Linked DNA regions of Mus musculus: all the other regions are reported to be linked to region 1. Evidence: microRNA targets listed by miRTarBase, many of them from high-throughput screens and not tested one by one. Region 1 holds a microRNA gene; each other region holds the end of a gene's coding sequence.

Region 1 (3,081 bases):
TACACAGGGTTCCATGCTGCTGACGTACGGTGCTTAATGAGAAGTTGCCCGCGTGTTTTTCGCTTTATATGTGACGAAACATTCGCGGTGCACTTCTTTTTCAGCATCCTATTCTACGTTGAAGACTTCGGGGGTTCAACTACTTACTGACTTCAGGGAAGCCATGTTAGTCTAGGAAAGTAGTCTATGTAGTGAGCCTGGGTTGTGTGAGTTTATCTCCCTTCTTGAATGGTCCTCTGACCTTTCTTAATGAGAATGGGTTTGGGTTGGTTGGCTCCTGCTCCCTCCTCCCTCCTCCACAACACAGTGTCAAAGGAACCAGTTGACCAGACATTATTGATTCCTAGATGAGACCTTAGCCCACAGGGAGATGTTTGCTGAGACTTCTGGGAGGGGAATGAGTCTTCATTTCTGTGAGAGATGTCTGAGTGGATCTCACTGTTCCCTGAGTTTGAAGGCCAGCTAGAATTCAAGAGGACAGTACCCAGGGCTGTTTAGACAGAGGGGGAAGTGCCTGTCCCAGAGGAACCATGGGACATTTGAGTAACAGTACAATCTGGGACCTGCATCCGACACTCCTTGAAGCTCAACACGTCACTGTACCTTTAAGTTATATTAGCCTGGATGCCTCCTTTGTGTGTAAGTCAGCTTGAGGTGGGCCTTTCCTTACTATGAGAGGAATGGATGGCTCCTTGTTGAGTGGCCTGTCAATGAGTGTAACTGGCATTCTTTGGATGGTATGTTCTCTTGCTCATTATTCCCATTGTCCAGTCTAAGGTAGGTAGTTGGTACCAAGTCACTTTCCTTTGTGGTTCAGATATATTGCTGTAGTGTTGTAACCTTCCAGTAACGGTAACACACACTAATCAATGCGTTTTGTTTTCAGGGAAGGGTCGGTCATATGTCCCGTTCAGGACAGCCGCAAGATGATGAACGGACATTGCATCCCCAGACATCTCACACGCTCAGAATCCTGGAGCCTCCCATTTCAACCTGTTCTTCTGCTTCCCAGTACCCTGTGAGCTCTTTGTTGTATTTGTCTACATCGTAAGTCACTTCTGGGTGCGGGAGAGGGGGGACCTCAGAGGGCATCATCCAGGCACTCACACAGCTGGTTTAGGCTGCCCTGGATTTTGCCACCTAGTTCTTTGACTTTTTTTTTTTTTCTCAGCTTCAGAAGAGGATCCTGGAACTGAGAGAGGAGATTCTGTCTTGGAGTTTGGCACCATCCCATTTCCCCCGAGTGACACTTCAGAATGACTGGCAAGGATGGTAGGCAACATCTCAGAATCTTCAGTCTTCGTCCCAGGTCTTCCTGAGATCCTGAGGTAGAGGGGGTTTGGGCTGGATTGCTATGGCAGTGATGAGTACTGAGCCACTCCCCTTGCCTCAGGACCCCCATCCCTGTCCCCCTCCCGGCCAAGTATCTGCCTCACCCACCATCCCTTCCTTCCGCCTGTCCCTCAGCATCCCTTCACACTCAGGCACACTGCTGGAACAAGCAAGAGCTCAGCCGTGGTACCTGAAAAGAAGTTGCCCATGTTATTTTTCGCTTTTATTTGTGACGAAACAAACATGGTGCACTTCTTTTTCGATATCAAATCTCACCTTGGAGAGCTCCCCATGGACCAGAGGGAGGACGGGAGGCCAGGGGGTTTGGGTCACCATGTGCACAGGGGCATTTACCTCAAAGAAGCACAATTTCACCTGCCCCTCTTGGCTCTGTGCATTGTTAGGTCCAGAATGCCCACCTCCTGGGACAGGCACAGTCAGTAAGGGAAACCAGGAAGCGCACTTTTAGGCTCTGTTGTAGGATGGAGTTCAGATAAGAGAAGCCCAGAAAATTATAAAATCCAAACAATAGCAATTTAATCAAACAGCCAATACAAGCCAAACCACCAATTCCTTCTGGAGACATGTGTCTAGATGTCAGCTGCAGGTGTCTTTACCAAGATATGTCAGTTGGTGAGTGTCACATAACACTATGACTCTAGAAAAGCCTGGGCCCCAGATCAGCTCTTTACCAGCATCCTGCCATGTCTACGGGCTGTGCTCTTTGATGCCATTAGCAAGGCCTTGAGGACTGGTGGGTGCTGGCTACGATTGGGACCAGGGAACAGCAAGCTGTCATCAGCCACTGCTGCCTGTCTCTTATCTCTGATACTGGTACCCCTGCCCTCTGGAGTGGTAGATGTAAGGCGGCACTTCAGACCCCTTTTCCCTAGTGAACTTCTCTTTATGGCTAACATTCTCTGGTAGCCTCCTCATGGCATCAAAATTGCCTTTGAGTGTGGTTGTTTGAGCAGGGCCCTTTGGTGGCTCTCTTGTGAGAGTGGGAGGGAGGATACAATCCAGAGAGTATGAGAACACCTCATCCATCCATCTCCCCTGGAGGGTTTCCGAAGCTGAGCCAGTACAAGATATGGGATCACTCTTAGGCAACCCTTTGCTAGGATACTAGCTATTTCTTTCTTTGCTCAAGTTGGAATAAAAGCTTTGTTTATACTTACGTGGCTCAACAACCATAGCGCATCAAAACCCAGTGCAAACTCCATCTAAGAGGTACCAGGATTAGCCACACACTTAGCTCTTAGTTTCTACTGGCTCAGTGATGCCCTTGGGCTGTGGCTGTACCTGTGTTTTGGCTTCTGCCTATAAAAGATGGAAACACCTTTGGAAAAGCAGCAACTCTCCCTTTATACCCATGGAGAAAGGCTAAGGGGCATGGAACAAGCATGGTCAACCCATTTTCTTAGGTTGAAAATCCCTTTCCATCTAGTGGGTACTGGCCTCGGTGCTGGTGGAGCAGTGAGCACGCCATACATTATATCTGTGACACCTGCCACCCAGCCCAAGGCCCCTAGGCCCACAAACTTCTGGAGGGGAGTTTGTCTTGGATTCATCCAAGGAATGCAAAGGACACCTGGACAGAAATGCCTCTGGTGGTCATCCCAAGGTAACCGGACTTGTTCAGTTCCATTTCACATTTAGCTTTGTGCTTTATTGGCAGGCTTCTAAGGGCTGCTATTCACCCCTACATCCCAGGTACGTATAGGCCCAGAGGGAGCCTTCCATCTTTGA
Region 2 (3,081 bases), not on the chromosome of region 1:
TCCCCGGTGACTCGAGGGACTACTCCACGGAGCTAAGCGTGACTGTGGCAGTGGGTGCCTCCCTCCTCTTCCTCAACATCCTTGCCTTTGCCGCCCTCTATTACAAGCGGGACCGGCGCCAGGAGCTGCGGTGCCGGAGGCTTAGCCCACCAGGAGGCTCAGGCTCAGGTGTGCCTGGTGGGGGCCCCCTGCTTCCCACTGCTGGCCGTGAGCTACCCCCGGAGGAGGAGCTAGTATCGCTGCAGCTGAAGCGGGGTGGTGGTGTTGGGGCGGACCCTGCTGAGGCCCTGCGCCCTGCCTGTCCACCCGACTATACCCTGGCCTTGCGCCGGGCACCGGACGATGTGCCTCTCTTGGCCCCCGGGGCCCTAACCCTGCTGCCTAGTGGCCTGGGGCCCCCGCCCCCGCCCCCACCCCCTTCTCTCCATCCCTTTGGGCCCTTCCCACCCCCACCCCCTACTGCTACCAGCCACAACAACACGCTACCCCATCCCCACTCCACCACTCGGGTATAGGGGGCGGCTTTGGGAGGTCTGCCTCCCTAGCCCTCCCAGCCCAGGCCACTTGAAGGCAGGGAGGAGGACTTGGCACCGGGCTTTGCCCCCGTGGATTTGTCAGACTTCGTGGAGCAGTGTTAAGGTGGACATGGGATTCCTCACTGGGAAGAGAGTTTTTCCCATGCAGAGAGCCCCATTATCTCCTCTGGACCTGGGCCTTCGAACACCTGGGGGGTATTTTTTGCCCTCCGTTGGGACACCAGTCTTCGGTGTGTGGAAATGTGGAAGTCCTTTTGCCCATGTGAAGACATGCTTTCCTCAGGGGGGGGGGGTGTTTTCCCATGTGCAGGGTGAGGTTTGTTTGGTTTTTTTGTTTTTGGTTGGTTGGTTGGGTTTTTTTTTGTTTTTGTTTTATTCGGGGGGGGGGGTTGTTTGTTTGTTTGTTTGTTTTGCCGCCCTGGACACATGTTTGCCTCCTCCAAGAATTTCTGCGGGGATTTGTATCCCATGCCTTCGTCTTCTCCTCCCCGTCCAACTCCCTGGAGACCCTGGAAGTGATGTGTGCACATCCGGTGACCCTTGGCCACCAGACAATACAGGGAGGTACCTGGGGAGCAGCTAGGAAATCACAGGCCCCCTGGACCCCGCTCCCCACCCACCCCTGAATAGCATGTTTCTCCCCCATGGCACAAGGCAGGTGAAGCCCGTGCTCCCTGGAAGCCCTCACCTTCCACAGACAACAGAGATTTCCTGCTAGAGGAAAGGGGGAATCTCTGTGCATCCCAGCGCTGCCTGGAAACTTACCTTCCCACGGCCCAGGACGCATTTCATCGAATGGAAACATGTTCTTGCATGTGGATGTGTGTTTCCCAGGCAGAGGGTCCTGCGCCCCCCAGCACTCCCCTGCCCTCTCCCACACCTCAGGTCCAGCGCACACTTCCTCCTTGCATAGCAGGTGGGAGCAGACTTCTAATGGACAGAAGCCACGTGGGAAGTAGAGACTTGGAGGGAGACGCCGAGGTGGGAGGATGGGGGGCATGGCACATGTCACACAAGAGGCCATGCATGTTTAACCTAAGCCCTCAAGGGGGCCTGAGGACAGCCTTTTCCTCAGTCCTTGAGATCATTGCTCATCCGTGCCAAACTGGGTAGATGGGTTGGGAGACTCTCAAAATGTGCCAAGGATCCCCTACGTTCTAGTCCAGGGAAGGGAAACGCCAGGAGCAGGTGGCAGCTAAGGTGGTCCCCCGCAACCCTCCCACTTGTGTCTCACCCCCATGTCATTTCTCCTTCTCTGCCTTGGTTCCTCTTTCTCCATCACTGGCTCCTTCTTTGATGCTCTCTCCCCATCTCAGGGTCAGACCAGCCTTCTCTCTTTACCTTCTTTAACCTGTCTCCCCTCCCTGGTTGGTTGAGTTGAAGAAGAAGAAAGAAAGCTGAGGAGAGGGGGAAGGGAGGAGTCAGGGAAAAAGGTTACATGGACAGGCTGGGGAAGAGAATGAGGTCAGCCGTACCAAGGAGCAGATGGAGGGGCTGTGGGGGACAGGGCAGACACCAGCAGGAAGATTTTGAAAGGAAATATGGGGAGCAGCTGCCTAGAGGTCTTTGGATTTGGACCTCTTGGGGAAAAGAACGCTGTCAGGAAGGGTTTTAAGGGACACCAGTGGAGGTGTGGCTGAATCTTCATGTATTGTTTGGCTTTCTGAGGGATGTTAGTGCCAAACTTGTATAGGAGTGGGGTGCTGTCTTCCACTGACACCCAGGTCCAGAATCCTTGGTCTTGAGCCCCTGTCCTTTCTCCATCCCCCATGGAAATGTAGTTCTTTTCTGGCCCTTTCCCCTGCCTGGTCTAGCAACTCTTGGAACAGCCATGCCTTCCAAAAGCTATCAACCTGGGCCCTGAGCCCTGTAAGCAGATGCCCCAGAGCTGGGGTGTGAGAGAGGGGCTGGGGGACCCCACGATACAGCCACGGACTCCAATGCCCGGCCCCTTTCCAAATAATCCCATGCCCCCACCCCAACCCTTTGCGGCTCTGTACACATTTTTAAACCTGGCAAAAGATGAAGAGAATATTGTAAATATAAAAGTTTAACTGTTGGTTGTGTTGTCTCCTGTCGTGTTAGAAGGTAGGTGGAGGGTGGAGAGGGTACCCAGCTCTGGTTGTACCTGTCTTGTTAGAAGGGGGTGGGAAGAAGTGCCCAACCCTTTTCAGAAAATAACTCTTAAGATCTGAGGAGAAATGGCAAAGGGAAAAGTCTCCATCCTGACGGGATTGGATGGTTAAGATAGAGACCAGGATGGGATTGGATGGTTAACATAGAGACCAGGATGGACAAATAGTCAGAAACACTTATAATCATAGCATTCAGGCCACTGCGGGGGGTGGGGTGGGGCAGGAACTCAAGACCAGCCTGAGCTAAATACGAGATCCCATCTTTAAAATAAAAGTGCTGGCTGGGCAGTGTTGGCACATGCCTTTAATCCCAGCACACGGGAGGCAGAGGCAGGCTGATCTCTTGAGTTTGAGGCCAGCCTGGTCTACAAAGTGAGTTCCAGGACAGCCAGGGATACACAGAGAAACCC
Region 3 (3,081 bases), not on the chromosome of region 1:
GAGCCAGCAGAAGGCTGAAACAATCCTAAGTGTTTGACTGCTGGTATCAGGTGGTAAACTAAGCTGAAGAAAACAGCAATCACATAAGCAGGCAGAAAAAAGGGACACTTGACTAGGCTAATTCTAGGCCCTCATGTAATTACATGTGAGAACTGCTACGGCGGAGGTCAGCATTGTAGTCCTTAGTTTCCACATATGCACAACAGCTAGGTTCCCGACACTGGAGATTTCCTAGGCCAGACTTCCCAGACCTTGGATCACACACAAGAAACACCCCTTTCAACATCATATTGAACGAATGCTCCAGATGTAATTGACAACAGCTCATCAGTAGTCCACTGCACTTCTTATTATTATCATCCAGACCTTGCAATACAGTACAGGAAGCAGCGGGTGCCCTCTGCACATCTGAAGCAAGTGGCAAGAACCCTTGGTGTAGGTGTACCCACAAATGATTTAGATACCCCCTTCCTTAAAGCTACATTTGATAGTGAAGGTGATACAGGCTCTTAGTCAACTAAAGCTAATGTCCGCCTATGCAGAGATGACAATTAGAAGCTGCATTGACAAAGGCTTGTCCCAGGGCATGATGCTACCCAGAGTTGGTGTTGAGATCAGAGCCTTTAAAGAGGTGGAGGAGGAACTCAGGCCTCTCCATGGGGACTGTCTGATTCCTTATGCTAAGGCTCTAAGGCCCTGAGGCTAGCTCCTGCTAACTTCCCAAACTTAATGTAAAAGTTGCAAACTCGTGGAAGAGAAAACTCGATGGATCATTTAAAGACTACAAGACAACCAAGGGAAGCTTGTCCAAGCTTACTGACTAAATAAACCACCAAAGAGAGGAACGGGACTCAGCAGAGCAGATAAACAGCAGTATGAGAAGTCTTCGGTGCTACAGATGAGGATTTTAACAAGATGATAGTGAGTGCCCCAGACCAGCAAGAAGCTATCAACATTAATGCTATCCTGGATGTTATCCGGAGACAGTTTTTATAGTTAGGAAAAAACAAACAAACAAACAAACAACCCTTTCTCTTGGACAGCCAAAGACACTGGTCTTGGGTCCACTGTAAATGACAGCTCATTTACCCATTTAATTTCTTTTACTTCTAAACTGTTCAGCTGATTTGTTCAATATTTGCTAAATATTGAATCTAAAGGATGCGTGATTATTCTGACAAAACTGGCCTCCCCAAAAGTCCTTTCTAAACGGATACTCACAGTCTGAATTTCTACCCCATTTTCAAAGCTCTTTGCTGTGTTTGTAGATGACACTCATAATTTTCACAAACGCTGCCCATTTAGCTTTTGGTTCCACAAAGAACATAGTAATCTTGATTTGTTTAATAAAGCCAGTGTTCTCCGCAGGTCCAAAGCGTAATCTCCATCAGTAACAATTATAGCACCTCTGTAGCCTTTACTAGGAAGTGGTTCCCAGGGCATCACTAACCTCACATACGGATTCCACAAATTAAGCAGGGAAGCAGAAGGGTAACTCAGAGCTTAGACCGAGGAGGATGTGCACAGCTGGATGGGGCGTTTTCATCCATGACAATGGGAAACAGAAGTTTTATATATGCTAAACCTTCACTCAGCCCAGCAAAGGCCTCAAATTTCAGAGAAATCACCCACCAGCCATTGCATAGTTGTCAGAACGGCCTTGACGCTCCACGTCTACAATACCAGACCCCTGATCAACAGCAGATGCCGTCGTTCATGCCCTGCGTTTGATCTTACTCAACAGCCAGCTTGTGGGAGTTCTCGCTGAACCCACCACCCCGGCACTGTGTCAACGAAGTATGACTTAAGGCTACGGAAGCTGTGCGTTAGGAACTTATGAAACGAGGCATTGGAAAATGGTTTTCAATCTTTGGATGTTTCCTAAAGATATAAAGAGAATCTCCTGCTTGTCAACCACAGCGAGGAGGTTGCCCTTCTGATGGACACAGTGAGTTCTGTCTGTAAGGTAACAGAAAAAGTAGCCGACGTCCACACCTACGCGCTCTCTATAGACATGGCCTCTGTTCTGGATTCTTCCCGTCAGCGTTTAAAACGGATGGAGGCTTACAGTGTCACCTAGCTTGTGTCTTTGCTGGGAACTCTGAAATGAAGTCTTAGGAAATCGAAGACAGCTTACTTGTTACAGTTGCTCGTCTTCCCTTCGCCCATGTGCAGGAACACTAACTGAGCCTTCCCTGGAGACCAGCTCTGCTCAGGGGGCCAGGCTTCCCTGAAGATCTGGGACTGGAGACACCCTCAATGCCTAGCTAGAAATGACTTCATGCCAAATGTACATTTTCCTCTGTGATATAACACACCCCAAATCTACTGCAGGTGCTAGAGATTTCCCCCCCGAAAATCCTAAAGTGGATTCCTGTTTGGGAACTGTGGCAGTGGGTCAAGAGTTTTAAGTCCGAGAATGTGTAAAGTGTGACGGAATTACATGCTTTGGACTCTAAGTGACATGGGAATGGACATTCACAACTGGAGCTCTTACACAAGAAACCACACAGCACTGGGACGATTGTGTCCACTAGTCCCCAGATCCGTCCTGTGTCTTGCTGAAGACCTCATCCTGGGAAGCCTGGTGATCCATCCCTTCATAAAACGAGCCACCGTTGTGCAGGAAAGTCCCCACGGCCCGCCCCTGTCGGGCATGACCTACAGCATCGCTGAACACTTTGTTTATCTGCTCCTCCGAGGGCATCCACCAATCAGGGTTTGAGGTACAGTGCATCCTAATGAATTCTGTGGGAACAGAAACAACAGTAAAGACGAGAGAGAAAACAGCTGGTTTTTGGACAGATGATACGAAGGCAGCTTAGCCTACACCAGAGGCAACTATCAGCGGAGTCACATGAAGGTCCCCAGCAATGCAATGACCGCACCACTCACTCCATCCAACCTACCCCACGCCAGTGTTCTCGTCAGCAAGGCCAAAGCTATTATCTACACTCTCTAGGGAATATTTGCTGCTGAAAAGAAAGTGTCTGCCCCAAGTGTCTTTACCCAGCTTTTTATATGGGTCATCTGAACTCAGACCCTCAAGCTTGCATTCTACTAACTGAGAATCACTTCCCC
Region 4 (3,081 bases), not on the chromosome of region 1:
AATGTGTTGTATGATTATAGAGGCCTCGTCTGGTGGCTGGGCCCCAGTTTCTGGCCTTCCTGGAACAACACTGTCCAGTCACTGTGGAGACTTTCTACCCGACACTGTGGTGCTTTGAGGGACGGCTGCAAACCATCTTCCGAGTCCTCCTGCAGTCTCAGCCTGTGGTCCCTTACCGGAGGTAAGAAGGGTCAGGACCAGGAACACAAAGCTGCAAGTCTCTATGGTCCACCTCTTTATATGACGGTAATCTTTGTCCCAAAGCATGAGCCTATATGTATGGAAAGGCTCTCTACTTGCACCCACACAAGGTTAATAGTCCAATCTAGCTGGTCACCTTGCTGTTTTATATGAAGCGTGCCTTCAAGTGATACCCATGACAAACAGCAGAGCTTGTGGGCGAGTCAGAGGGTAGAGCTTTGACATGCAGAAGTGCAACTCCTAATAACATCTTTGTGTTGCAATCTCTAAACCCCAGTGAAGTCCTCCAGACCCCAGATGGAGGCCAGTTCCTTCTAGACTGGGCCGAGCAGCCTAACAGCACTCACTACCCGGACCCTACCACCCAGCCCATAGTACTGCTGCTTCCAGGCATCAGCGGCAGTAGCCAGGAGCCGTACATCTTACACCTAGTTAACCAAGCTCTGAAGGATGGCTATAGGTAAGGACAGGGTACAGAACTTGGGAAGGGCAAAAGTACATCTGACCCTGATATGGTACTCTCTGACAGGGGCCTTTCTGAAGACTATCAAGGGGAGGGTCTTCTTGGGAGGGCTTGGCTCACACTCCTATCTTGCCCCAGGGCTGTTGTATTTAATAACCGAGGATGCCGAGGGGAAGAGCTGCTGGTGAGTACCCTCCTCCTTTGTGGTGGCCCTGTCCCTGTTCCCTTTAGAGACCACTGGCCCTAGGGCTCTACCTACTTACCAACCCCCTACCCTTCCTGAGCCCTTCCGCTTGGCTGTCTTCTGGCAAGAGCCTCCCTCCCTAGTCAATGACCCGCTTTGCCCTCAGACTCACAGGGCTTACTGTGCCAGCAATACTGAAGACCTAGAAACAGTTGTGAAGCACATAAAACGTCGCTACTCCCAAGCTCCACTGCTGGCTGTGGGCATCTCTTTTGGAGGGTAATAGTTGCCTGGGTTTGTTCATCTTGTCTTTTTCTCCTCTTCTGTCCCAGTGTTCCCATGCCAACACTTTCCATGGCCCTGCATCCAATTTTACAGGATACTGGTGCTTAACTATCTGGCACAGACTGGGAAGGCTGGAGGCTTGGTCGCAGGACTGACCATTGTCTGCATGTTGGGATTCCTTTGAGACCGTTGACTCCTTGGAGACCCCACTCAACTCACTGCTCTTCAATCAGCCACTCACTGCTGGACTCTGCCGGCTTGTGGCCAGGTAGGATAGCAGATGGCAGGCTCTGCCAGTGCTTGGGTCCATTCCAATCTGGGCTTTCTTGAGGAGGTAAGAAGACAGAAGCTGTGAGCTCTGGGTTAGGTGCAGGAGTTCAGACAAACCCTGATGTATTCTTTTCCAGGAACCGAAAGCCAATTGAAAAGGTGTTGGATGTAGACTTTGCGATAAAGGTATCTTTCGATCACCCTCTCACCCCAGTGTTGGTCTCCTACGTTCTAATATTATAGCCTACCATGCCTCTACCACACAGGCCCGCACGATCCGCCAGCTGGATGAGCGCTACACATCTGTGGCTTTTGGGTATAAAGACTGTGCGGCTTATTACCAAGCCGCAAGCCCAAGAACCAAGGTAGATGCCATCCACACCCCTGTTCTCTGCCTCAATGCAGCAGATGACCCCTTCTCCCCAGTCCATGGTGAGTGCCTGCAACGAGGTCCTGATCCCACAGCTACTGAGCCATAGATGAGGGTTGAGGTATGAGCCTGGGTTCTCATTCCCGGACAGCTTTCTGACCTCCTGACTCCCTTCTAGCCTTCCCTCTGCAGGCTGCCCAGAAGTCTCCCTATGTGGCCCTGCTCATCACAGCTCGGGGTGGCCACATTGGCTTCCTGGAAGGGCTGATGCCCTGGCAACACTGTTACATGAACCGCGTACTACATCAGTATGCCCGAGCCATCTTCCAGCACTCAGTGGGGCTACCTGACCTGGGAGTACTCACTCCTGAAGATGGAAAGAGCTGACAAGAGGACTGCTGGGCTCTCGGTTCAATTGTTCTCTCTTTATTAAATATCAACTCTTCCTGCCTAACGAGCTGAGGTTCCCTTTCCTCAGGCTGCAGTAGACCCTCCAGGAACTCACTATGTGTCTGGACTGACTGGCTTGGTGCTACCCACAGAAGGCCACAGATCACCGCTACCGGGGTCCTCTTTGTGCCTCTTCCTACCCTAACAGCAAGTGCCAGCACAGGCTCTGTCTCAACAAAGCCAAGGCCCTTGTGTGAAGGCTGGAGGGGAGGAGGAGAAACAGTTTCTGTAGGAAGGATGGCAATGTCTCCAGGCTCTTGGGCATCTTCACATGCTTCTAGAAAAGGAAGAGCTGAGCTCTGGAGCCCTGGGAGGGAGGCTGAGGGAACGAGGCAGGCACTGTGGCCTGAGCTTCAGACCACAATGTCTTAAGTGGATCCACAGGTGAAGGCAAGAGCTCCCAAGACCCAGAGTGATCGAGAGGCCACCGCCAAGTGTGAGCTGAGGGACAAGCAGTACCCATCAGTTTCATCAGATGCAGCTTCAGCCGTGGGGCTCAGTGATTCTGCTCTGGAAGGCGGCACTGTCCAAGGCTGATTCCCATCGCTCTAGAGGTTAGAGAAATCCCGGGAAGGCAGTCTGGAGCAGCAGGATGGTCACAATAATAAGGCCGACACACAGCAGGAGCAGAAGCCATACAGGAACACTCCCTGTGGGTAGGGCAAGGGAAGAAATGAGTGGGCAAAGATGCTTTGGAACTTGAAAACCAGAACCTTTAACCTCTTTCATTCAAGGAGGGGCAGGTAGATGGATAAAAACAGTCCATTTTCCAGGGGCCAATTTTTGCTATAGCTAAAGTGGTACCCTCCCTGCCAACACACACACACACAACAATGACTCACGCCGTGAAGGCAGCAG
Region 5 (3,081 bases), not on the chromosome of region 1:
ATCGGTTTCTCCTCCCACACTCAATTTCTCTTTCCCTCTGTGACACTTCAGATTTCTGACTCTCAGTTTGCTGTGTTTCTTTCCTCAGGAGATTTATATACATTCCCCTGTCAATGTAGGAATAGTCTTTTTAAAACATAAAGAAAATCCCTCTAGACATAGATTAGTGGTTTATCCGTTTACCCTCCTTAGGATGATTTCAGTGTGAAGTATAAAACTCGATTATTATAGGGAAAGTAACCCAGTGAAAATATTATTAAAAAAAACTATGATGATCATAGAGGGAAGCAGAGTAGGAGATAATCACATTTACTCTTCATTTATTTTTTTTAATATAACCACAACAAAAAACAAAATAAGAATTTTGTCAAATTGGAACTACTTGGCTTATATTGTTTTTAGAAATTGGAGAAAGTTGCATTATACTATTTATTCTCTCTGTACAGTTAAATAAGCAACGTGAGATTTAATTTTTTGTCTTATGACCAATTTGACTAAATGAACTCCCTGCTCTATATTTGGAGACCTGCACCCAATATAGGCTACAAGTTCTGTATAGTCTGCATTTCTTGATGTAAAAAGACCAGGCTGTGAGAAGCCAATGGATGATGACTGGTTTGGGAGGGCATTGGTCTGTTTCACAAAATAATCTCTTAAAACAAACAAACAAACAAACAAACCTAAGTAGGATTGCATTCTTTTTCTGTCCCACTGAAATCAATGTGATATGGAGTCATCAATTACATAGTTATTTATATTAAAATATCCTATAATAAAAATAAACTCTCATACATTTAGTGGAATTCCAGAGAGGATTTCTCAAAATCCTTCTATGCAAATCTTTCACAGTAGGCACATTTGGTATGGTCACTATAGAATTTGTGTAAAACAATTTACTTTGCAGATTTTTACGAAGAAAAAAGAAATGCCAGTGGAATAAAACCACGTCATATTATTTGAATTATCGGAGGGGGGCCTTTCAGTGAGTAGTTAAAGGAGATTATGATTATCATTAAGCGTGTGCGACCTTCTTGTGCAGGTAAAAGACTTCCTGAAACCACTTATATTCCATCACTTACATACTCACTGGTAGAGACAAACGCCTTCTGAGAGCAGAAATTCTCTAATACAGCAGACATATGCTTATATTTTGTAAATTATGAGATAATTGCCTATGGTGTGGAAACAGTCTTTTAAGTGCTAACTAGTTTGGTTTCTTGAATTAGTTGAACTGATCCGATTGCTCGTTCAAGATGAGGCTAAATACGAAATGATTTTAATATTACTGTTAGACCCAGCCAATACAGAACATACATCTTCCCACCCTCAGGAAAAACAAACAAGCAACCACAAACACATTTTAAACCCTGGCTGAGCAGAGGTGAGCCATTACTGCGGAAGCTGGATGTGACAGACAGCTTGCGGCTCTGCGTGTTCTCTATGATCCCTACACACTGTGAGATATGAACCAGGAGCCATAGAAAAGGAAGCAGTTGTGAAAATACAAATTGAAAACACAGTGACATATTTCTTTTTGTTGTTGTTGTTTTAAATTCCAATACAAGCAAGCTAACTTTTAGACCCTTGGATATTGATCACATATACACAGGAAAACACAGTTTCTACACCCAAATGATACAATAACTTGGCTTGGCTGCCTGAAAAATATACAGACCGTCAAACTCTAGAGTACACAGAACTGAATATGTGTTTAAATGACCAGACACACGCAGATCCTTTCCCTTTTTAGAACTTCACAGAAGGTGCTTGCTGTCAAAATGGTTTCTTTCTTTTTCTTTTCTTTTTCTTTTTTTTCTTTTTTTTTTTTTTTTGACTAAAATGTTATCTCCTGCAGGCTGACAATATACAAAGTTTTATTTAACAGCAGCAAGTTCTTAATTTCCAGTAAATCTTCTTCAGCTCTTTCTGGAAAATAGTAGTTGAAATAGCTGCAGACCTACTTTGGTCAAATATATATATTGTATTTACACATGTGTATATATTAATAGGACCAAGTTTATAAAGTGACATACTAAGGGCGGATGCATTTACAAACAGTAAAAATAAGCTGTGTGTCATGGCTGAACATGATCACGATGTCTTTGAAGACATTCTATAAGAGGTAGGTGACAAGACTTCTCTGCCATCTTCAAATGTCCCCGATTCTACATTCATCATTGTGTGTCTCCTTTGTGTAGGCCCAGGGATGTTCCATGACCCTCACGTTTTCTTTATTCCAAGGTCACCATCATTACACCAAGTAGAGTAAACCTTTTGGTCGCAGAGAGCAGATTCTGCCCATAATTCGACTCGTGGTGACAATGACATGAAGGCATGACTTTCTGTGCTTTGGGTAGGCCTTGTCTTCACCACAGCTGTATCTGCGATGATCCTCCTGTTGTTTTTTTGTGCATTAGAGTAAACCACAGGCTAACATTTCTTCAGCAGACATTGCTTAAATGCAGAAGGCCTCTGAGAGAGAAGGCATCCTTTAGCTAATTTCCTGTTTCCATCCTGGCACTGCACGGTCCTAGTGTGCCAGCCTGTGTCACAGGTCCTGGAGCAGGCCAGCCATGGACCTGTCACCCACTGCAGCTGTGTAGAGTGTGGTCCCACCTTGTTGCTGCCATGGCTGATGACAGAGTTTACTTTTTGAGTGGTCTTCTTGGGAACAAAAAAGCTGTAACGGACGTCTAGCGCTTTAGTTGGGTCTGTGGCAAGGATCTGCACGATCAGGATTTCTTTTGTGGCTGAATAGCCCATCCCATGTAAAAAATCATCTCTGTGGCTCCATCCACTGTAGTTCATGACGGTACCATTGATGTCGATGATGGTCTCTGAAGTGGAAATCATGTACTTGCCATTGATAAGGTACTCGCCAGTTTTCTTCTTCAGGGCTAAGTAGGCAGTGAATCTAGTCTGGTCTTTGGCTTTGAACTGTCGGACTTTTATGTGGGTTGCTCCTTCAGGGATCCTCACAACGTCAGTATAACCCTTGCTGTAGGCCAGGGTGTCCAGGTGAAAGGTTGGAAAAAGAAGGGGGCAGTGAGATAGAATTAGCATATGGCTATACATGGATAA
Region 6 (3,081 bases), not on the chromosome of region 1:
TGAATTTCTCCTTAAAAAACAAAACAAAAAAAACCCCTTTCTCTTGGGTTGTGACTTTTCCTCCAATGCTGGGGACAGAGCTCAGGGCTGCCCTCATGCTGGGCAAGTGCTTTAATCTCTGAGCTACACACACGTCTGGGTTCTGTATTTCTGCCCAGCCTGACTAGCTGTCATGAACGCGTCCAGGGCCAGGACCTAGTCCTTTCATAGAATGAAAACTGCTTTCAGGAATGCCTTTTCAAAGCTACTTTCTTCTAGACACTGACAAAGAAAGCTCATCAAGGAATGCACTGGGACTTTTATCTAGAGTGCTACCCAGACAGTGGAGACCACACAGAAAGAAAATGTCGAACTTGAAGTGACCTCCAGAAGCTGGTGACATTTCCCCCAGTTCCTCTCAGAGTTACTATGGAGTAAACAGGTGTTGGGTGGTAGGGATGGTATAGTGATTAAGGTGCTAGCTCTGAGCACCAGGTCCTTTAAAGACACAGTCTCTTTCAGGTGTGGAATACAAAGGCTACACGACTGAGGAGAATCCCACCTCCACTCAGAAGAATGCTGGCTAAGAAACTAGAAATGCGTATTTTATCACAACATTTTGGTCCCACGGGGAGGTGCACTCTGCACCCTCAAAGCAGAGGACCCCTCTCCTTTTTTGGTCAGATCTGGGCATATGAGCCTTTGGTTCTGGGTTTCAGGCCCTATAGGCTGGGAATTATGGGATGGAATGAGGTACTGAGCAGCACTTGACTCACTTAGGGTGGGACAAAGCCTGAGTACATGAGACAACCTCACCAATGGTAGAGAACACTGCAACGAGCCTCCAGGGAAGTCAGGAAAAGGAGGCGGGGGAGGGAACAGGCAGCCTCAATTTGTACATGGGCTTCTTGATACACTGACCTACTTTAGAGATGGCTGTGCTTTTTGCTCAGTTTTCCACTTAAGTAAATGAAACAAAATAGCTATATGTATATATATATGTATATATAACTAAACAGATATGTGTAAATAATGCTATCATACCATGATATCAAGAACTAAATACTAGCCTGCTGTTATACACTCCAGGCTTACATCAAAGTGAAGAGCTGCCAGTAACTGCACTAGCCTGTTCTCATTCTCTCCACATACTAATAAACATCAGAACAGTCCTGAGGGCTGTAGGGGTCAGGCCTCATGTGCTCTTCCCTTCCCTTTGACCTTTCCTACCAGCTCCTGAGTTAAGAACCATTGATCCATAGCTGTATTTCTTATACCATAGCTCCAGAAATGTTTTTTAAACTTGAGGCAAGTGTTTAAGGTCTGACAGACTCCTCCCTGAATGCTGGGCTGTCTGTGCCCTTCCCTAGCCAAAAAAGAAAGAAAAGGTAAAACAAAAAACAAAACAAAACTCGAGCAAAACAAAATCAAATTTAATGGTCTTAAATGCAAAAGTAAAAACAAACAAAAAACACAAAAAAGCAAAAGAAAATTAACAGAACAGAACCCCAAACGTCAAGGCAGTTATGAAGAGAACTTTGAGGGTTAATCCTTAAAACTACAAATCAAAGGATTTTGTTAATAGATAACTGGCAAGAAGTACTTTTCTGCTGAGTGTCCATACAAAAGCAAAATTTCAAAGCAAAATCTGACTAAGATTGGAAAAAGTCTAGTGCTCACAAGAAGGGATGCGAGAAAATACAATGCTCAAATGTTTCTGTGTCATTAAAAACAGAGCAATCGTTGTGCATTCAAGCTAGGTTAAATGGTCTTGGAAACTCGGGAAGTTGCATGAACAACAGTATCTGATGTGTGGGCACCATGCATGCAATGTGTGGACAGACGCTCAGGATGTCAGAGGAGTGGGGCATCTTCAGGCATGCCTGGAGCTCAGGTTTGACTCTGGAATATACTGGAGCTGCCCTGAAACTCTTTGGTCCGTTCTCATTGGTGCCTGGGCTTACAAAACACCTTTTGTGTCTCTGGAGGGCCTGGCTCAGCCCAACATGTGGAACCTCTTCCCATCTCCCCTTGTGGGAGCCCCAGAATATGGGCCCTGCTGCTGCTCCCAACACTATAGAGCTGGGACTGAGTGGGCAGGGGGCAGCAGTGGGACTGCTGGGGAGGGCAAATTTCCTGTCACCTAAAGCAGAAATTGTTTAAAATAGTGAAGCAGTTGAGAAAAAACACACTCCCCATCTGTCTAACATCTTTAGGTTAAAAACTAAAACAAAGAAATTAAAAAAAAATTTTTTTTGTTTTGTTTTAAATCCAGTCTGTGGAGACATCAGATGAAACAGGTGTTAGACAGTCTTAGAAGTAAAAGCATGCTTCAGTCCCACCACCGTCCAGAGTGACTGGTTAGTCAGCGCAGTCTACTTCGGTTTCACTTTAATATATACTTTAAAGGAAATAACTTAAGAAACTTAAAATTGGTCTAACATTTGTGGGATTTCAAGCATTTGAACATGTCGGTTGCATCCCAGAGTATAAAAACCTTTGCACTTCTCATTTAGACTAAGACAAACACTTGTGAAAATTGGCGCAAAATGAGTTGTACACTAACAAAAAAGTTTCAACTTCTTCACTCTTAATTATCTATTCCGTACAAAAAAAGAAAAAAGAAAAGGAAAAAAAAAAGAAGGAAAGAAAAAAAAAGCATGAGCGAGTTATTTGTGGGACTTGTTGGTTTTGAAGGAAACCTGTAAAATTTTGTCCCCCAGGCGGTAGCCGTTCAGACTTGCTATGGCCATTGCAGCTTCTTCATAGTTTGTCATGGTCACAAAACCAAACCCTTTGCACTTGTTGGTGTTGAAATCACGAATCACTTTCACATTGGTAACTGCACCAAAGGGGCCAAACATCTGCCAGAGGATCCCCTCATCGGCGTCTTGCCCAAGGTTGTAGATGAAGATGCACCAGCCCGAGGAAGCATTGCCGGGGACATTGACACCAGAAATCCCACTCATGTGATCTACACCCATAGGGGAGAACCTAGCAAACAGAGAGCACATGTTCAGGTCAAGGTTAAGGCCAGCAGTGTACCTGCACAATGGGGTAAGAAGTAGGATGGAGAGGGCCAAGATGTAAGGACACTTGGGC
Region 7 (3,081 bases), not on the chromosome of region 1:
TTCAGCTCTACATCCAGATTTGTAAGATTGTGATGAGGCACGCCCATCAGATAGCCCTGCAGCACCACTTCCTGGCTACATCGCACTATGTGACTACCCGGAAAGGGGTCTCGACCCTGGCTCTCATCCTAGGGACCTTTGCTGCCTGCTGGATGCCTTTCACCCTCTATTCCTTGATCGCCGATTACACCTACCCTTCGATCTATACCTATGCCACCCTCCTGCCCGCCACCTACAATTCCATCATCAACCCTGTCATTTACGCTTTCAGAAACCAAGAGATCCAGAAAGCCCTCTGCCTCATTTGCTGTGGGTGCATCCCTTCCTCGCTGTCTCAGAGAGCTCGGTCTCCCAGCGATGTGTAGCAGCCTTCTCCTCATAGGACGCTGCCTCTACCAAGCGCTCCCACCTCCCAGGGCGGCCAGTGATTTCCTTCCTTAAATTCTTTGCACTGGATCTCACAAGCAGAAGCAATGACATCTTTTAGACACGTATTGACAGTGGAAATCATCTTACCAGTGTTTTTTAAAAAAAAAACAAAACAAAACTCGACTTCTCGGCTCAGCATTCTGTTGTTTGGTTTGGGAGTTAGGATTTGTTTGTTTGTTTGCTTGTTTGTTTGTTTGGAGGGTGTAATGGGACCTCATGTGGCCATGAAATTATACAAAAGTCTCGGGATTTTTTAACCTAGGCTTGAAAATAAATCAAAGTTTTAAAGGAAACTGGAGAAGGAAATACTTTTTCTGAAGGAAATACTTTTTTTTTTTTAATCAAGGTAGATCTTCCATTCTGTATGTATCTAACAGGATAGGAGCTTTGCCATATAACCAAAATAGTTTATATAATTACATTTGGAAGGGCTTGTGTTTATTTCTAGGAATTCAGTAATAAGTGACCAGTAACAGAGGCGCGAACTCCTTTCTTTCCTTTCAGCAGTAGTGACTGCTCTTAAGAATCACTTTGCAGTTTCTCTGTGTTACAGTTTGGTATGCATGGTTACCTGTGGTAGTCAGATCACTAATTGCAATATTGCCATGTTAAACCCAGAATTAAAAGAGTCATTTTTTCTTCAATACAGTTTTTGAAATATCCTTTCCAAAGTGAGTCATGAAAAAAATGTTTCCAATTACATATGAGATAGCACTGGTTAGATTTGTCATTGTGATTTTTAAAACTCTAGACTGGTGGTTTTCAGAAAACAAAAGAGAAAATATTAACAGCATCTATTGAAAGAAGATTTTATTTATTTTTAATATATTCTGAGAGAATAAATGGTGTGATACTATTAAGAAATATACAAACATGACTTTTCAAATCTCTATCTATGGATACATTGTTATTCTTACTTAAGATGAGTAGAATTAAGTATTATAAATGGAAAATTTTCTCATTCTGTTGGTAGGGCAAATTGCATCTGAAGCAGGTGGTCTCCTACCTTAACAACTAGGTCTGAGGCACGCCCAGCTAACATGACTGGGGTGTACCAGCTGTGTCCTGTGTGCTCATGCAGGAATGACCATATGTCTGATGGTGAAAAGTTTAATTTCCTTTTACCAGAAGACATCCTCCATGCAACAAGGACTCTGCTGCCTGCTTTCAGAAAGCAAAGGTTTACCTGGGAAATTACTACAAGACGTGACTTAAAACACCATACAGAGTAATTATGTCCAAGTGTCATTTTCTGTGAAAGCAGACAGATGTAAGATACACTGTCCCTCAGTTTGCAATGGGCTCATGGCTGTGTCTATACAGGAAGTGGAAGAATTCCTGAATGGCACATCAAGACCAGTATTTCAGGATCCTTGGTGAGGGGTCATTTGTAATAGGTTCCCCTCAAAGGCTTGTCCCAATCAGTATTTTATGTATTTTATAGATATTATTTTATGTATATGAGTACACTGTAGCTGTACAGATGGTTGTGAGCTTTCATATAGTTGCTGGGAATTGAACTGAGGACCTCTGCTCGCTCTGGCCCAAAGATTTATTTATTATTATATCTAAGTACACTGTAGCTGTCTTCAGACAGCCCCAGAAGAGGACATCAGATCTCATTACAGATGGTTGTGAGCCACCATGTGGTTGCTGGGATTTGAACTCAGGACCTCTGGAAGAACAATCAGAGCTCTTAACCGCTGAGCCATCTCACCAGCCCCTGGCCATGATGATTTCAGGACCAGTCTTCAAAGCCTGCCTGCCAAACCCATTCCTCCAAAGTTGCTTCTCAAGTGGCTCAAGTGAGAAAGCATCTTATACTTGAATCTGTATCTCTTCTCTGAGGCTGCTCATGGCTGCATGAGAGGGATTGAAATACTGAAGAAGTAGGAAAGGATTTTCAGCCCTGTATGATCAACCCCAATCCAGCCAACAGCTTTAAAACATTTATTTTGAATACAATATGGGCGTGGTAAGAAAGAATAGGTTGAGTCTTTTTATTCATTAATTTAAATATCTTATTTATGTATTCATTTTACTTACAACTCACATAGATGTACATATGTGTGCAGGTGTCATGAGAGGCCACAGGTATCCAAATGGCCTGGAGCTGCAGTTACAGCTGGTTGTGAGCTGCCATGTGGATGTTGGGAATAGAACCTGGGTCTTCCACAACAGCAGTCAGTGCTCTTAACCACTGAGCCATCTCTCCAGCCCCAGTCATTTAGCTTAGACTTGAGCAGGAAACTCTCATAATGGGTCCTTAAAGCAACAGATGGCGCTTTATGGGATGGGAGCTCTCCTTTGCACATCTCTGCTAGGGGACACAGGAGTGCAGTCAGTTTTGCCTGGCCCACGTGTGCTCTCAACCCTGAACTTGCTGTTTTACTAGCTTTCCTTTCTTTCTTTTTTAAATGCAACTGTGAAAACACACATTTGTGGTGAGAAAACCGGAGCTCAGAGAGAGGTGAAGAAGCAGGCTGAGGCCTCTGAGAGAGCTGTAGGGTGAGGCTAGAACTGAAGGCAGGCTTTCCATTCTCCCTTCCCTGCCCCTCCATAATGTTGTCTTTGATCCCTTACTCCACAAAGAAAGCTGCCTTTGAACAGGTCGCTGTCACATAATCTGGGTTCTGTCATTAAGAAAAAGGT

What was found. Region 1 holds the annotated microRNA mmu-miR-495-3p (AAACAAACAUGGUGCACUUCUU, at 1,568-1,589, shown strand). A microRNA usually pairs through its seed, bases 2 to 8, with sites in the 3' UTR of a target mRNA and lowers its output. Matches are read on the target gene's strand: a 7mer-m8 pairs with bases 2 to 8, a 7mer-A1 pairs with bases 2 to 7 and ends in A, and an 8mer does both.
Region 2: miRTarBase lists Nlgn2 as a target of mmu-miR-495-3p. Seed matches in the 3' UTR shown: 7mer-m8 at 853-859, 7mer-m8 at 928-934, 7mer-m8 at 932-938, 7mer-m8 at 936-942 and 7mer-m8 at 940-946.
Region 3: the mRNA of Bend4 is a reported target of mmu-miR-495-3p. Seed matches in the 3' UTR shown: 7mer-m8 at 1,018-1,024, 7mer-m8 at 1,014-1,020, 7mer-m8 at 1,010-1,016 and 7mer-m8 at 1,006-1,012.
Region 4: miRTarBase lists Preb as a target of mmu-miR-495-3p. The part of its 3' UTR that is shown has no 7-base or 8-base seed match.
Region 5: the mRNA of Adamts5 is a reported target of mmu-miR-495-3p. Seed matches in the 3' UTR shown: 7mer-m8 at 1,335-1,341, 7mer-m8 at 674-680, 7mer-m8 at 670-676, 7mer-m8 at 666-672, 7mer-m8 at 662-668 and 7mer-m8 at 658-664.
Region 6: the mRNA of Elavl1 is a reported target of mmu-miR-495-3p. Seed matches in the 3' UTR shown: 7mer-A1 at 2,542-2,548 and 7mer-m8 at 1,439-1,445.
Region 7: the mRNA of Gpr12 is a reported target of mmu-miR-495-3p. Seed matches in the 3' UTR shown: 7mer-m8 at 598-604, 7mer-m8 at 602-608, 7mer-m8 at 614-620 and 7mer-m8 at 618-624.

Annotation. Positions count from the first base shown.
Region 1 is chr12:109,717,228-109,720,308 of GRCm38, forward strand. Mir495 (microRNA 495) reads left to right here and starts at 1,527; the gene lies at 1,527-1,589. It overlaps Mir543 (microRNA 543), which reads left to right and starts at 31; the gene lies at 31-106. Mir667 (microRNA 667) reads left to right here and starts at 2,779; the gene lies at 2,779-2,870.
Region 2 is chr11:69,822,637-69,825,717 of GRCm38, reverse strand. Nlgn2 (neuroligin 2) reads left to right here. Exons shown (of 8, transcript NM_001364137.1): 8 at 1-2,595. The coding sequence ends at 515. Among named protein-coding and RNA genes, the nearest start is that of Spem1, 2.0 kb to the right of the region's middle.
Region 3 is chr5:67,395,703-67,398,783 of GRCm38, forward strand. Bend4 (BEN domain containing 4) reads right to left here. Exons shown (of 5, transcript NM_001164806.1): 5 at 1-2,748. The coding sequence ends at 2,534. Among named protein-coding and RNA genes, the nearest start is that of Gm33345, 8.2 kb to the right of the region's middle.
Region 4 is chr5:30,952,865-30,955,945 of GRCm38, forward strand. Preb (prolactin regulatory element binding) reads right to left here. Exons shown (of 9, transcript NM_016703.3): 8 at 3,066-3,081; 9 at 1-2,873. The coding sequence ends at 2,779. It also overlaps the pseudogene Abhd1. Among named protein-coding and RNA genes, the nearest start is that of Preb, 5.9 kb to the right of the region's middle.
Region 5 is chr16:85,860,180-85,863,260 of GRCm38, forward strand. It overlaps Adamts5 (a disintegrin-like and metallopeptidase (reprolysin type) with thrombospondin type 1 motif, 5 (aggrecanase-2)), which reads right to left. Exons shown (of 8, transcript NM_011782.2): 8 at 1-2,998. The coding sequence ends at 2,431. Among named protein-coding and RNA genes, the nearest start is that of Gm46558, 38 kb to the right of the region's middle.
Region 6 is chr8:4,286,952-4,290,032 of GRCm38, forward strand. It overlaps Elavl1 (ELAV (embryonic lethal, abnormal vision)-like 1 (Hu antigen R)), which reads right to left. Exons shown (of 6, transcript NM_010485.3): 6 at 1-2,973. The coding sequence ends at 2,649. Among named protein-coding and RNA genes, the nearest start is that of Timm44, 13 kb to the left of the region's middle.
Region 7 is chr5:146,580,390-146,583,470 of GRCm38, reverse strand. Gpr12 (G-protein coupled receptor 12) reads left to right here. Exons shown (of 2, transcript NM_001359056.1): 2 at 1-1,321. The coding sequence ends at 365. Among named protein-coding and RNA genes, the nearest start is that of Gpr12, 3.3 kb to the left of the region's middle.